Linked DNA regions of Elephas maximus indicus. The main gene of each other region encodes a partner of the protein of the gene in region 2 in a complex. Links are inferred from orthologs where the notes say so. Each region holds a gene or a part of one and is shown on either strand. Other genes may lie near its edges.

Region 1 (7,388 bases), on a different chromosome or scaffold from region 2:
GGGAATGTCTGTTTAGTTAGTAGAAATCACTTATCAAATGAACTTTTTTTGAAACAGCTGCACGGGTATGTAAAAGTAAAACCTGCGTTAAAAACCTTACATTTAAGAAAAAATAATTCTGAGATTAATTTTGATTCCAGTGTGGGCCAATGGCAGTCATGCTTAATTCTTGAAATTTCCCAACAGACCAGACCTTTTACCCTACACCTCATTCCATGTCCAAGCCGTATCCCTTTCCCAGCAGAATCCTTTAGTAGTAAATACAAGAGCCTTCATTTTAAGACAGCTCTCCAAGGACCAAACCAGAAAAGATGCTGAAGGGAAGGTTAAATTCAACAAAATGGTAAATAGGGGTGAACTGTAAACACACTTAAAGAACCACTTTTTTGTTTAAACTGAGCTTTATTTTTTTCTTTCAGAAAGTACCTATAAAAAAGTAAAACCACGTTTTAGGGGGAGGGAGGAATACAAAATTATGATGAAAGGCCATGCTGCGAAAAAGGCACTTTACTTGGGTGTACAATACCTGCAGTGTTCTCCACTGGGGCCATGTCCAGAGGCACCAGACACTCACCTCACCAACTGGCAAGGAAACTGAACAGCAGCTGAAAAGGATGGAGTGAGGTGGGGGATGGCCTGGACACTACGCTCACTCCTAAGTGGGCCCCTCTACCTTCCTGGCGCTCGTGGAGAACACTGTTGTTATCAACAAACCAAAACACTGAACTGCAAAAGCAGGACTCACTGAGCAAAAACTGGCAGGTTATGTTAAAGCCATAAAAGTACACCTCATCATACCTCTTGTCAAAAAAGAAACCACTAAAATCTCAAACTGCCAAAGGACAGAAATATTGTTCAGGATAAACAGTAACAACCTGAAAATGCGTTTAGATGCAGAACGTGTATTTACCTATATAAGCTCTTTCTTGTTCTCGAGTAAGTCCAGGAGGAATAACAGTAGGCATTCCTGGAATCACCGTCTTCTGTTCCATTGTGTCCTGGTTCCAGCGGCTCCTCTTCCGCTTCTTACTCGGGAAGTCTAAAGGCAGATAAAATCCATCAGATGCAAATACAAACTAGCACAGTAACTGCCAACAGGCAGCACAAGACACCTGTATTCCACAGAACCTCAGCAGATGGCGAAACTGAGGGCCCAACCTAAAACTTAAACATCACGGAATGTAAGACAAATGTCAGAGATCAGAGATTAAAACGAAACATATGGCTACTACAAGCGTAAGAGAAGCTGGGTCAGAGAAGTTAACGTTACACATTTATAACTTCCCTCTAAAGAAACTACTAACGTGTGTATATGAAATGACAAAACGTAGTACACAAAATCTCACGTAATTAAATTTAATACTAACAAAGTAAATAGCGTCTATACTACCTTGGCCGGAATGCCTCAGAAGCCCCAGGGGAGACAGGAGCAGAGTGAAGGACCACAGACAATCTGTAGAACAATGCTGGGGGAACTGCTGGCTCCTACCTCCACCCCGCACCAGTCACCTTTCTGAATGGAGCCGGGATACCCCTGAACTCATCACTACACACTACTGCGTGAAAAGCCCAATCCTTCAACACCACCACCTTACTCTCCATGCGTTTAGCCATGATCAGCATTCGGTGATCCCGGCCAGGTAGACACTTAAAGTCTGAACTCTTCAAAGATGTATGAGTTCACACCAACAAGGTATGTGAAAGCAGCTAAGCGGCCCTTCCCCGACAGAGAGGCAGAAACTCCCAACTGTTAGCACGCAGAAGTCGTTCTAGTTCCCCAAGGGTGCAAGCCAAGAGGGAAAGTCTTTAAAAACAACAGTAAAGTGGAGGCGGTGAGACTGAGCAAGCTCTAGGGTAAACGAAGGGAGATCAGAAAATAAAACAGGGAAGGCAGTGACCAGATTCCCCCCACCCCACCCCACAAAAAGGGACCAGGAAGGAACAGCCCCAACCATCAGGTGGAAACTCTCAACCTCTTTCATTCTTTGTACTGAAAACCTCGCCTTAAGGTGCAACTAGGGAGGCGATTCTGGGTATTCTTTTCCCTTTCAGACAACTTAGACCATCAAAAGGGCGGCCCAAGTCACGAGTTCACCCTTTCGCTCTCCTGTCCTCCCGGTCTACCCACCTGCCACCCTCTACACCCGGGCCACTCAACGCCTCCCCCTATGCCAGCGGACCGGAGAGCAAATAAGGGCCCCGGGCTTTGCAGCGGCGCCCCGAGGCCTGGCCGCCACACTGCGCCTGCGCACAGCAGACTGCCTCCCGCTCTTCCCCTCCCCCCGCGCGCGTGCGCGGTAGAGTCCCCGTGAACCAGGCCGCGCGCGCCCCTGCCGCGTGCAGCCGCCGCCGCCGCCGAAGCCGCGCGGCCCTCAGCCGGCCGGGCCCGTCGGCGCGACGCCGCTCGCGCGCTCGGCCCGACTCACCTCCTCCGCCGCCGGCCGGGCCTGGCTGCTGGTCCTGACGCGGCGGCTGGGGTGGCTGTGGCGGCGACACGCGCTGGTAGAGCGGCGGAGGGGGCGGCTGCGGCGGCGGGTTCGCGGAGCCCGGGGACGGCAGCGGCGGCCGGGGCAGTGGAGGGGGCGGCGGCGGTGGCGCCGCGAAGGGGAAGGCCGCGGTCAGGGCCCCCATCGCGCCCGCGGGCGGCGGCGGCGGCGGCCCGGGCACCAGTAGACCCGCCCCAGGCCCGAGGGCGGGCGGCGGCCCCGGCTCGAAGCTCCCTTTGGGCCCGGGGAGGCCCAGCTTACCCAGCGCTCCGGTCGCCATGGCGCCCCTGGGACCGGCACCGGCGGCTCCTTTTCCTTAGCGGCGGCGGCGGCGGCTTCTCCTTCGCCAATCTTCCGGGGGGGGGCCGGACTGCGCTGCCGCGGAGCCGTCCTCTCACGCGGCGGGCGGCGGCGGCGGCGGCGGCGCGAGACGCACAAAGAGGGAGGAGAGAGGGCGCCGCGGGGGCGGGCCGGGGGCGGCGGGGCCGGGGCCTCGATTGGACCGGGCCGAGGCTCGAGGGGTCGGGATCGGCGTCTTCCGATTGGCCGGTCCCTAGCCGTTGTCGATGCGCGCTGGGATTGGCCGAACCGTTAGGCCGAGGGAGGAAATGGCGGCGAAGCCTGGCGAGCTGGGGCTGTCGCTGCGCGCAGTTCGTTTGTTACTGCGCGGACTGAGCTCGGAGTCCAGGAAGGCGGGGAGGGGATGGGCAAACTCTATGACGTGGAAGAGGAGCGCTCTCTCATTGGCTGGAGTCCGTTGAGTCAGTCAATCTTGATGGCGTCGTAATGTCTTGGGATTGGCTGTCACTCGCTCGATTCTTTTTCTACTCTCCGGGGCGAAGTTTCGACCGGATGAACCAAGAGGTCGCGGCTGAGGAGCCCCAGCACCAACGAGTTTTAAGGCAGGAAGGAGGGGCAGGGAGTGCGCATGCGTAGATATGGCAAAGCCGCCTTTCCAGCCCTGTCGGCTGTGGACCCCTGGGTCCGGCGCTGAAGCTTTGGGTGACGTCATCCTCTATTCCCATGGTAACCCGGGCCCGTGGAGTGGCGGGGTGGGGGGGGCGACGCGCGCGCGCGCAGTAACCGGATCCGTTGTCGCTGCAGGTAAAAAGGGACTTCCTGTTTTCTTTGAAGGAGCCCTGGTGGCGCAGTGTTTAAGCGCTGGGTCGCTAACCGAAAGATTTGCGGTTGAAACCCACCAGGCGCTCTGCGGAAGAGTACAGACTTACAGCCTGGGAAGCCAGATGCGGCAATTCTACTGTGTTCTATAGCTAGGAGTCGGCATCGACTCTTCTCGGCAGTGGATTTGGTTTGGGTTTTCTTTGAAAAAACTAAAAAGTGCAAAAAAAAAAAAAAAAAAAGAAGCCAGCTACGGCATAGTCTTATTGAAGGATTAAAAATTATCTGAGCTAATGTGAGAACATAATCTTAAATAATCTTAAAAAAAATCTTAGGTGAATGATAATATGAAATTGTCAGTTCTAAAATTAACAAGAATAAATCGTTTCCATTAGAATCCCAACGGGGTTGGAAGGGATTTGGAGAAATTATCTTAAAAATCATATCCGAATGAAAATGGTGGAAAAAGGTGTAACAGAGGTTGAGGAAGAGCTCGCCTTTCCAGATAGGGTAGTATAAAGACACAATGACGAAAACCGTATATTGGCTGTAGGAAGGACAGATCGGTGGAGCAGAATCTGAGTAGAGTCCAGAAATAGATTCCCCATATGCAAGCACGAATACCAGAAAAGTGATGTTTCAATTCAGTAAAGAAAAAATGATTTAGTTATTAACCCATTGCCATTGAGTCAATTCCAATTCATAGCAACGCTATAGGACAGAGTTACAACTGCCCCATAGGGTTTCCAAGGACCAGCTGGTGTAGCAGCCGAGCTGTGCCACCAAGACTCCTTAGATGGTACCAAAACCAACCAAACCTAGTGCCATCGAGTCGATTCTGACTCATAGCGACCCTATAGGACAGAGCAGAACTGCCCCATAGAGTTTCCAAGGAGCACCTGGTGGACCCTTTGGTTAGCAGCTGTAGCACTTAACCACTACACCACCAGGGTTTCCCCTTAGATGGTACAGAGTCTTAAATATAAATAAACATTCAGATTACAATTTAGGAGACAATAGGGTAATCTAGGGGTTGAGAGAATTTAGGAAGACAGGAAACTCAAACTATTTATAAAAGGTATGCTTGATTACAAAAAAATTTCCTGTGATAAAAGAGAACAGAAATGATAGGTTAGTAAAGCTATTTGGCACATATATGGCAGATAAAGGGCTAATGTCTATAATAAACAATTCTTTAATTAGCAAAAAAGACAAAAACAATAGAAAAATGAGCAAAGAATATGAACAGACAAGTTCCCAGAGCTAATCCAAATAGCCAAGAAGCATGAAAGGTGCACAGTCTCCCTAAGAAAATGCCAATTAAAATGGTACAGGAATCTCCATATATAACCATCAAAATGGCAAAATATGTAAATATTAGCACCTACTGTGAATTTCTTTTTTGGAAAGCATTCTGTTGAATGAGATGAGTATTATCTCTACAGATGAGAAAACTGAGGCACAGAGAGCTTTAAGAGACTAGCCCAAGATTACAAAGTCATATAGTTTCTATTTGCCTGAGACTCCTGAGTTGGACGGAAGAGGATTTGAATCCAAACTGTGCCACTTTCTGATTTTAAGGAGTGTTGAGCAAGTGCTTCCCAGTTTTGAGGCAAGTTGGGAGTCAGCCTCAGATATCCATCAGCTGGCAACTAGGGGAGTCATTTCATCTCTCCGTACCTCAGTTACTTCTGCAGAATATAGATGATGGCATTGCGCTGCAGGGTACTGTGTAGATTCCATGAGATCGGAGAACACAGTTGATTTTAACGTGGTATCTGCTGAGCTGCAGGGGCCAGAGCTGCACACAGATTTCAGACATAGATGCTCCCTGGCTTTATACAAGGGTGAGAAGTTTCAGCCTTTTCCTCCTAATCCCTGGCATTTTCTGTGTCTTAACTCTATACTTGATAGCTCAGAACCCCCAGGCCCTGGGCAAGATACAGCTGGCCAAGCCTGTAAGGAGTGAATCCCCTGTCCAACTTTTGGAGAGCCCTGCATGTGATCCCATATCCCAATTAGGAGTAATGATATCTACCATGGAATGAGAACCCACATCCAAAAACAGACCAAACCTGTTGCCCTCAAGTTGATTCTAACTCATAGTGACCCTACAGGACAGAGTAGAACCGCCCCGTAGGGTTTTCAAGGAGCAGCTGGTAGATTCAAACTGCAGACCTTCTGATTAGCAGCCAAGCTCTTAACCACTGCACCACCAGGACCCACATACTTCCCATAATTTTTCTTTTCTGGAAAACCATGTTTACTTATAGCTTCCAATCTGAACCGGGCGGGGGGGGGGGGGGGAGATGGGTAGTAGAATTTGTGACTTAGGTACAAATTAGAAAAACAGAGCAATAGATGTGTGCAAATCACGTATCTGATAAAGGACTTGTATCTAGAATACATAAAGGACTCTGAAAACTCAGTAAAAGAACAAACAACCCTATCTTTTAAAAGGGGCAAAAGATTCGAACAGAAACCTCACCAAAGGATGGTAAATAAGTACAAAAGATTCTCAATATCATTAGTCATTAGGGAAATTCAAATGAAAAACACTATGCAACAGATCAAAATATCAGATAGGAAACTTAGGGGCAGGAGGTTTATGTTAATAGAGGAGGAACAACTCAGAAAAGGAGGGTGAGAACGGTTGCACAACTCCAAGCATGCAATCAATGTCACTGAATTGTACATGTAGAAACTGTCGAGTTGGTATACGTTCTGATGTGTATATTCTCAACAACAAAAATAAAATATATATTAAAAAAAACCACTCTACAGCACCACTACACACCCATTTGAATGGTTAGAATTAAGACGGCACTGGGTTTACTGGGTATGAAATGTCAGCAAAGGTGTGGCGTAACGAACTCTCCTACGCTGTGGGGAGGAATGTAAAGTGGTACAACCACCTTGGAAAGCAGTTTGGAAGTTTCTTAAAAGGTTACCACCTACCATATGACCCAGCCATTCCTCTCCAAAGTATTTTCCCAAGAGAAATGAAAGTATATATAGCCGCAAAAGACTTTATGCGTGTTCACAGCAGCCTCATTTCTAGTAGTACAAAACTGGCAGCAATCCAAATGCCCATCAGCCAACTGTGAGACATCCATGCAACGGAATACTACTTGACAATAAGAAGGAGTGAACTATTGATACTTGCAATAACACGGATAAATCTCAAAATAATTATGCTAAGTGAAAGAGGCCAAACAAAAAGAATACATGCACTATGATTCCATTGATACAAATGCTGGAAAATGCAAATGAACGTGCAGTGACAGAAGATGGGGTGGCCAGGAGGGGTAGGAGGAAGTGATTACCAAAGGGCACGAGGGAACCTTCGAAAGTGATGATGGAAATGTTCATTATCTTGACTGTGGCAATGGTTTCATGAGTGTATACCTACATCAAAACTCATCAAATAGTACATTTTATTGTATGTCAGTTATACCTTGATAAAGCTGCTTATTAAAAAATAATAGAAGAAGGCAACTACAGAGAGAGGATTCTGTTCACAGTTTGGGAAAGAACACAGGTATGATTTCTCTCCACTTAAGTCATCATCTAGGAAAGGATTGTCTTAGGTTGTTTTGGTTTTTAGCCATTGAAGGGTTTCACTGAGTAATTATTTTTGAATATTTTATTACATTTTTTTACACAATATTTGTTACCCACAAAAGGATGCACCTATGTAAGTTAGGAACTGAGTTGTAAATTCGGCACCCGTGAAGCTACCACCCAAGCTGAGTACCAAGCCCCCTTGGAGGGACCACCGTC
Region 2 (8,123 bases):
CCCAGAAAAGAGAGAAGCATCTGGCAGTAGCAAATTGTTTTATTTTATCTTTCTGTGGAAAGAAACTAATTTTAAATAAGAACCAGAGCATTTAAAGAATAAATATTTTTAAAGCTCATTATCTAGTTAGAGCAGCTCTACCAAGAAAACAAGAAGAGCTCCTTGCTGTTTAGAGATGGAAAGAAACAAGAGGAATCAGAGTTGTCTCTCCATCATATAGGGAATTTTAAATTTTATGTTACTCTACAGTCACAGAATAAACAGTTCTTTTATTTAAAGAACACCTACAGGCAGAATCTTTTGGGCCTGTGCCTTTGAATAAAGATTTTTATACAAAATTAAGGGCTATATTCCAAATAAAAAAGAAGAAAACCACTTGACGTTAAGCCCTTCTATTCTTACGGTTAAATAGAAAGAGACACAGAGCAAGCTCCTTTCGTCCACTGCAATTGCACTATTAACTTTAACCATCGTGACTTAAATTATTATCAAAGAAAACAGTACTAATTATCAAAAGATCAAATCAAATCGACTGGTTTTTTTCAAAATATTTTGTTAGCCTAAATTTCTGATGATTTATCAAGATACTCAAATGGAAATAACCCAGCCACCTAAAGGACCTGTGTATTATAGGACTTAATACAGAAAACATGAAATTATCCATAGTAACTTAACCTGTTAACTTTCTTGAATGCTCTCCTAGGAATTCAGTTCTATCAGCCACTGAGTAAGCCTTAAAACCTTTTGATCTAAATCACTCCTACAAAATGTCTATTTACAATTCATGCTCGAGATGGAAGGGACGGCTCAGAAGCAGTAGTGCAGAAGCAATACAAATTTTGCTTAAACAAAATAGTATAAATGGAAAATGAGCTACCTATTTGACAGCATCCTATGAAAAATCAGAATTATGAAGTAGGAACCTCATCAGCCCCGCCTCCAACATACACACAAAAGAAGAAGATATTTCAGGAATAAAATATAGAACTCATTCTCAGTTAATGGCTTAAGCAATTCCTATTTTCAGATCCTTTGTATTCATCTTTTATGGCCCACCAATATAAGTTATGTGACATATCAGATAATACTTATTCTTAGAGCGTTCAGTTAAATTGACATCCTTAAAAAAAAGTCATTAAACTAAAAAGCCTAAATGTACCTTGTTAATTTAAAAAAAAAAAAAAAAGAAACTCTTAGTTTTGTTGAGGTAGGAAATAAGTTTTTCGTACAGAAGACTTTTGATACATTCAAAATTTGGTTAGTCATGATCCAACATTTGCTGTATCTGAAAACATTATTTTGACATAAACTAATCCTTAAACAGCTATAACTATTTACCCAGACTTCATCTTGACACAATACTAGAAGACAAAAATAAATGGAAAACAAAACAAAAATACAAAAATATTCTTACTTGTCCCATTGGTGGCCCTCCCATAGGGGGCATCATTTGTGGCATCATTCCATGAGGTACAGGTGGCATATTCGCTCTCTGACCCATAGGGTGCATTCCCATGGGGGCATAGTGCATGCCAGGGTGTCCCATCTGAAAAATAATGAAAACTAAACATCAGCAAGTAACAGAAAGAGCTTCTCAAAAATCTCAAATGAGTTCTCTGCAGTGGCTAATATTAAAGTAATGTGTGATTGAATTACGCAGATAGTTTATACTCTCTTGTCCTATATTAACAAAAAATGCACTACAGTGTTTATAACAAGCTTGCAACTGCCATATTCCTGAATATAACTTGAAACCATCATTGAACATCTAGATCAATTTAAAAAGAAAAACTGATTTAATCAGTTACTAACTGGCTTGCCAAACTTGAACGAAATTTATGTAATAACTACTTTAAACTCTCATGGTGAAAGCCACAACTTTGTCATATTTCACAGATACAAAAGAGAACCATCTATTGCTATTTTATAACGCTTTTTTTAAAACACGTTACTTAAATGACTTTAAAACGCTAAATTTACCAAATTAACTCAGATGAGAACTGGTCTTAGAAAAGACAGATAGGTACCTAGGGACACTTCACTCCTAACAAATAAACATATTCTTTCCTAACACAACTTTTAAGACAGGTAAAATTCTTCCGGAAAAAATGCAACTTTAATGCTCTTTAAAAAGACAACACTTCACCTAAGTGTCCATTGTTCCAGGTCTTAAAACCAAGTAAATTTCCTGCCAATGCTCCCACTGCAGACACCCCCACTACTAGTGAAAACAAATTTTGGCAGCCTCTTTTAAAGTCTACAAAACCAAGTTTCCGCCTCCCTCTTCCTGCTAAATCAGGCCTACCTCTCCTAGACGCTTACCCCGCCCAGGGCCCAGCATCTCCACCACGCCTCTGCCTACGCCAAGCCCACCGGGAACTTCCAGGGTCCCACATCCTTCCCTTTGTGCGTCCCCGCCCCCCATTTCTCTCCATCGGAACATATCCCACCATCTCGAGCGCTTCCTCCGTCCACTCTTCTCCTCTTTGAGAAAGCTTCCTGTCTCTCTGACTCCGTTTTTCATTGTGCCACTTTCCCCCTTCCCCACCGATCCCTTACCGAGGGCCGGCTCCTCAGGAAGCCGTCAGCAGAGACCCAAGAGCTGGAGCAAAGGCTTGAGCCGGGCAATCTCCGCTCCCCGTTCCCGGGACCCCGCGACGGAGGATGGCTCTCCATTTCACTCACCATGAGGCCTCCACGCTCTGCTCCCGTCCCCGGCCTCATCGTCGGACTCTGACTGCTCCGCCGGCGGCCACTGCCGCTACACATGCCAACAAGAAGCGATCTGAGTGGCTGGCGCCCGCCGGGGCCAAAGGTTAAAGGCTGCGCTGCGCTTCGGGGCGGGATCAGCGGGGCCAATAAGCTGACAGGCTTCCCCGAAGCCCAATCTGAGTGCGCGGCCGGCACGCAGCTCTGCGGCGATTCGCCCCCAGCCTCACTCGACGTCGCCTGCATGGAGGGGGGGAGGGGGACGGAGGAAGTTTCTGCTCCGAATCCTCCGCCGGGAAAACTTCACCAACTTCCCCCGGGGAAGAGAAGATAACAGTGTCCCAGCTTCCCTAGTTGGGACGGCCGCACTCCTCCATAGGGGGTGGGCAGCGGGGGCCTGGCGCCTTCACCGCCCCCAACCAAGTTACGTACGCCCCACAAACCTGAAGCCGCCAGGGGTACGGTGGGTGGGGGTGGGGTAGGCAGCTTCTAGCGTTAGCGGTGGCTGCGGCCAGATGGCGCGCGCGCAGTGCTCGAGACAGTGGGAGGGGCAAGGAAGGGAGGGGGCGGGGAAGACGGGAGGAGGGGCCCAAAAGAAGAGAGTTCGAGGTAGGTAACAGATCGGAGAGCGCACGCCCTGGCAGAAGAGAGGTAGAGGCGTGTAGAGGGCGTGGAGGGAAGGAGTGGTAGGGGCAGAGAAAAAAAGATGCGGAAGAGAGTTAGGAATGGGCGGTTAAGGCAAGACACGAGCGCGTGGCGGTGAGCTGCTCTTAAGGAGGAAATCAGGGAAGAAGGCAAGCAAAGAAAAGGGAAAGAGCAAATAGGTTCGGGAACGTGTATCGGAGCGGCATAGGCGGGCGCTAGGACCGGGTGTCGGGAAGGTGCGGCATTGGAGCTATCAGGGCGCGCGCCTGCCTAGAGGTGACGCGGCGGTGGCTGAGGTCTCCGGCCGGAACGAAGCGCTGCAGGAGCCAGGCATTCGGCTACCTTCGGTCTCGGCTCGCCTGCCGCTCCGCGCTTTGCTTCTCTCCCTCCGCATTGCCAGACCCTGGGTCGGGCTCTGGTCCAGGGGCGTTCGGGCTCTTTAGGAGGCCCGTCTGCTTGCTTCCCGCCAGCTGCGAACTCCTACGCACCCCTGCACGCCAGAGCCGGGTGGTCGAGGCCGGGATAGGGCCCGGGCGCTGATTGGCTGCTGACGGCCCAGGGTGGGAGCCGCTCCGCCTCCGCGGGCCTCACGGTCTTTCCCGCCATGTCGTTTGTGGAGAGCGGGAGCGTCTTGGCTTTGCGGCGCCGCCGACTTGGCACTCGGGCCCCACTCCCTCGGCCGGTGTACTCCGCCTTCTCTCAGGGGGACGGTTGGGGCGAGGGCGAAGTCGACGAGGAGGAGAGATGCGACCAAGTGGCCCGCGACTTGCGAGCCGAGTTCTCGGCTGGGGGGTCGTCGGAGCTCAGGAAGGGCTCGCTGCTACCGCCGCACGGGGACGGTTCACCGGTTCTGCCCGATAAGCGCAATGGCATCTTCCCAGCGACTGTGGGCGGACGAGCCTCGGCTCGGCGGTGGCCGGTCCAGGTCCTCTCTGTGCTCTGTTCGCTGCTATTCGCCGCCCTCCTCGCATTCCTTCTTGCCATCGCCTACCTGATAGTAAAAGGTACTGAAGCGCGGGCCTGAAAGTCTGCCCAGAGCAGAAGTTGGGCCTGGACGCGTCCCTCGCCTCCATCTCTCCCTCTTTTCACCGGCAAGCTGGCAGCCTCTTTCATTCAGAGTCGTCGTCTGCACCTTTCTTTGCTCTTCTCCTTTTGTCTTCTCTTTCCCAAGGTGGAAGACCCTGGTCTGTGATCAGCAGACTCTTTTTTAAGAATGATTCCTTTGATAAATGGGTACTTCTGAAGATTTAATATCTTAAAATCAGTGACCACTTGGGGTGAAATATTGAGAAAAGCAAATTTCAGAAACACCATCATTAAAAGGAGACGGTGAAAAATGGGTGTAATTGAAAAGGCTACAGGTTCAGTGGCTTTGATCCACCGATCCCTCTGTACACTCACAGAATTCCTGGAGGACAAGAAGTTCTAGCCCACAACCCAAATTTGTACTTGGACGGGTAAAATAATTAGTCTCTCTTAGTTTTATGTTATATTTGTAGCTGGGTGTAGTAAGTAAAGTTTTACCGCAGCGTCCGTAGGGTTTTTTTTCCCCCCTTTAGTAGTGCCTGAAGTTGAAATATTGGCCAGATTGGAATAAAAATAGATGTGCCTTGAAAGGTTTTGCAGAGGCTGATACAGATGTATTATATGGTTGGGTACTGCATATAAAAGTAGAAGGATTCATACCTGAGTTTAAATATCATTTCTGAGTAGTGAATGTGACCTTGGCCAAATTATTGGAAAAAAATATAAAACGAAAAGAACTACCTTACTTTGTGTATAGAACACACCCGACACATCTCTGAAGTGTCAGTTTCATTTGACTAAATAGTGTATATTTGTTTAACTACAGTTATTTTTTACTCGTTGTTTCCCAGCTCCTAATGGGCAGCAGATAGCATCTAACAGCTTACAATGCTTGATTGTAAGAAGATAGACTGACAAGTTACTTTGTGAATTTTACCTCTTCATGAGATGGTAAACTGTGAATATGAATTACTTGGCTGCCAATGTTTTATTATTTTATCACTCCTTCTCCTCTCCCCTTATTTTTTCACAGCAATTCTAAGAGACAGTTTTCTAGGTACAGGCTTCCCTTGATATCTGAATGTAGAGAGTTCCTGTGAAACATTTCTTAAGCTGAAATGGCGTGAAACAAAGAAGCATTAACATTAATTTATATGGGAAAATTTTTCGAGCATTTCTCAGGCCCCAAAACTAACCTACCAAATCATACCAAATAACACTACCAGGCAGTAAAAGCAGGAATGATATACAATGCTGAGATGCTGAGTATAGTTCCCATGGAAGGAGCTTGGCAATGCCACTGACTGCTCAGGGTGTGTATTGCATCTTTAAAGGCTCACTGCAAAACAAATGGCTGATGGCAGTTTCCACTTTTTGCCTCTTTTTGTAAAAGCAAAAATCCTCTGGATTTTTTTTTTGTTAGTGAAAACAGGTACTAGCGTAGGTCTTTTGTAAAAGCGAAGTGGTGTAAAGCAAACTTTAGAGAAACAGGTGATACCTCTACCTTTTGTTTTTCTCTGAAAGATTGCCTTTGCATCATAAAGTCATAAAATTGTTGTAAATTGAAGTTCATTGCAGAAAACATTGAGCTGTTTTTATACTAAAGAATGGGGGAAGGAATTGAAGTAAGACCTGGTATGCTCTGCAATTGCTATTAAACTGTTTTCACAGCAACCCTATGAAGTAAACATTAGCTTTCCCATTTATAAGGTAAGTCTTACTTGATTCCTGAAGATCACGTAGCTAGTAAGTAGAATCAGAATTCGAAACCAGTTCTTTGACTCTGGAGTACTTTGCACAACTTCACAATGTCACCCAAGCCTTTGATTACTTCACATTACGAAATAACTTTATTCTTTACCTAGCCCTCTCTTTGTATTTACAGAGTTGCATGCTGAGAATCTGAAGAATGAAGATGGTGTAGACACTGGGCTGTTAGGTATGGACTTAATTTGATTTAAGGTCCACTTCTGCTTTTCAAAACATACTTAAATTGTACAAAATTTTAGATAAAATGCCCAATATGTTCGTCTGTGCCCTTGATTCAGTCTTTGATTTGCGTATATATGTGATGAGTTTTTATTATGTTATATTTATAGATGTATGTCTGTATACACACACACACACCCATTATAAAATTTTGGAAGTACATTTTGAGTATTACCATATGTGATTCGAGTCCCTGGGTGGCACAAACAGTCAAGTGCTCAACTACTAGCCGAAAGGTTACCAATTCAAGCCCACCCACGGACATCTTGGAAGACAAGCCTGATAGTCTGCTTCTGAAAGATCACAGGCTGGACTAGTTCTACTATGCACACACGGGGTTGCCATGAGTCGGAATCAACTTGACAGCGACTGATAAAAATATGTGACTCAAATCCATGGGATACTTAAAATTTTCTAGTTGTCTTCGGAGGAGGCATTCCAGGAATTAAAAAAAAAAAAACCTGATAAACTTAGCAAAGATAACATTTTAAGCAGAACTTTGTAGATATTTAAGTTCAGATCCCTTTATAAGCAACTTCTGTTCAAAAAAAAAGGCACATTGGGTGTACTTGCATAAGTTAATGACTAGTAAAGAGTTAGACCTGAGTGTGTGTAGAGTGCATTAGTTTACGGAAGGAGCCCAGTGGTTAAGCACTTCGCTGTTTACGAAAATGTCAGCAGTTCAAATGGACCAGCCACTCCGTGGGAAGAAGATGTGGCGGTCTGCTTCCGGAAAGATTTACGTACAGCCTTGGAAACCCGGTCCTGTAGGGTCGTGATGAGTTGGAGTTGACTCAGTGACAGTGGGTTTGGTTAGTTTACAGACTTTCAACGAAAAACTCTCAAGAGTTATTTATCCTGTATTTGTTTCCCTCCACCAAGAGCTCAGAGCCCTGGTGGCACAGTGGTTATGAGCTTGGCTGCTAAACAAAAGGTTAGCAGTTTGAACCCACCAGCTGCTCCTTGGCAATTCCATGGGACAGTTCTACTCTGTCATTATGAGTCGGAATCAACTCAATGGCAGTGGGTTTGGGTTTTTAGGTTTAGCAAGAGCTCAGAACTTTATCTGTCCTCTATGTTTGGCATATTTTTAGCCTATTTAACTATGTTTCATTTGATTAATCATTCCAAATTAAAAAAAAAATGTGTACATCCTATCCTGCATATTCCCTGGCCCTACCTCATTTTAGCTGAACTAATATATGGAGACCTGGTGCCTTAGCCATTAAGAGTTCAGCTGCTAACCAAAAAGGTGGGCAGTTCAAATCTACCAGGTGCTTTTTGGAAACTCTGGGGCATTTCTCCTCTGTCATGTAGGGTTGCTATGACTCAGAATCCAACTTAATGGCAATGGGGTCGATTTTTTTGTTGTCGTTATTATATATGTAATACTGTGATAGGAAATAGGAAGATTATATCTGAGGCTTTGCTAATGACATGAATTTATTATCAAGACTCAGGAATGAGCAGAAACTGCCCTTTTTTAAAAAAAATTTTATTGTGCTTTAAGTGAAATTTACAAATCAGGTCAATCTCTTATAAAAAATTGACGTACACCTTGCCATACGCTCCCAGTTGCTCTCCTTCTAATGAGATAGCACAGTTCTTCCCTCCACTGTGTCTCCTTGTGTCCTTTCGGGTAGCTTCTGGCCCCCTCTGCCTTCTCGTCTCCCCTCCAGACAGGAGATGCCAACATAGTCTCATGTGTCTACTTGATCCAAGAAGCTCGCTCTTTACCAGTATCATTTTGCATC

Evidence for each region.
Region 1: the proteins of PRPF40A (region 2) and SF1 are in contact, whole or in part, in an NMR structure (PDB 8PXX), measured with the Homo sapiens proteins. The link is inferred for Elephas maximus indicus from reciprocal best matches to the Homo sapiens genes PRPF40A and SF1. Residues at the interface, in NP_001352526.1 of Homo sapiens: His164, Ser166, Tyr172, Tyr174, Ser181, Thr182, Trp183, Tyr213, Tyr215, Ser222, Arg223, Trp224; in NP_004621.2 of Homo sapiens: Pro575, Pro576, Leu577, Pro578, Pro579, Gly580, Ala581, Pro582, Pro586, Pro587, Pro588, Pro589, Pro590.

Annotation. Positions count from the first base shown.
Region 1 is NC_064825.1:127,945,404-127,952,791, forward strand, and holds the start of SF1 (splicing factor 1), read right to left. Parts: upstream 3,178-7,388; 5' UTR 2,767-3,177; coding exon 2,427-2,766; intron 1,040-2,426; coding exon 911-1,039; intron 1-910. UniProt on the Homo sapiens protein: Necessary for the ATP-dependent first step of spliceosome assembly. Binds to the intron branch point sequence (BPS) 5'-UACUAAC-3' of the pre-mRNA. May act as transcription repressor.
Region 2 is NC_064824.1:49,938,423-49,946,545, forward strand, and holds the start of PRPF40A (pre-mRNA-processing factor 40 homolog A), read right to left. Parts: upstream 3,212-8,123; 5' UTR 2,956-3,211; coding exon 2,560-2,955; intron 1,547-2,559; coding exon 1,415-1,546; intron 1-1,414. Other genes in the region: ARL6IP6 (ADP-ribosylation factor-like protein 6-interacting protein 6), read left to right, coding at 3,959-4,358, 6,266-6,319.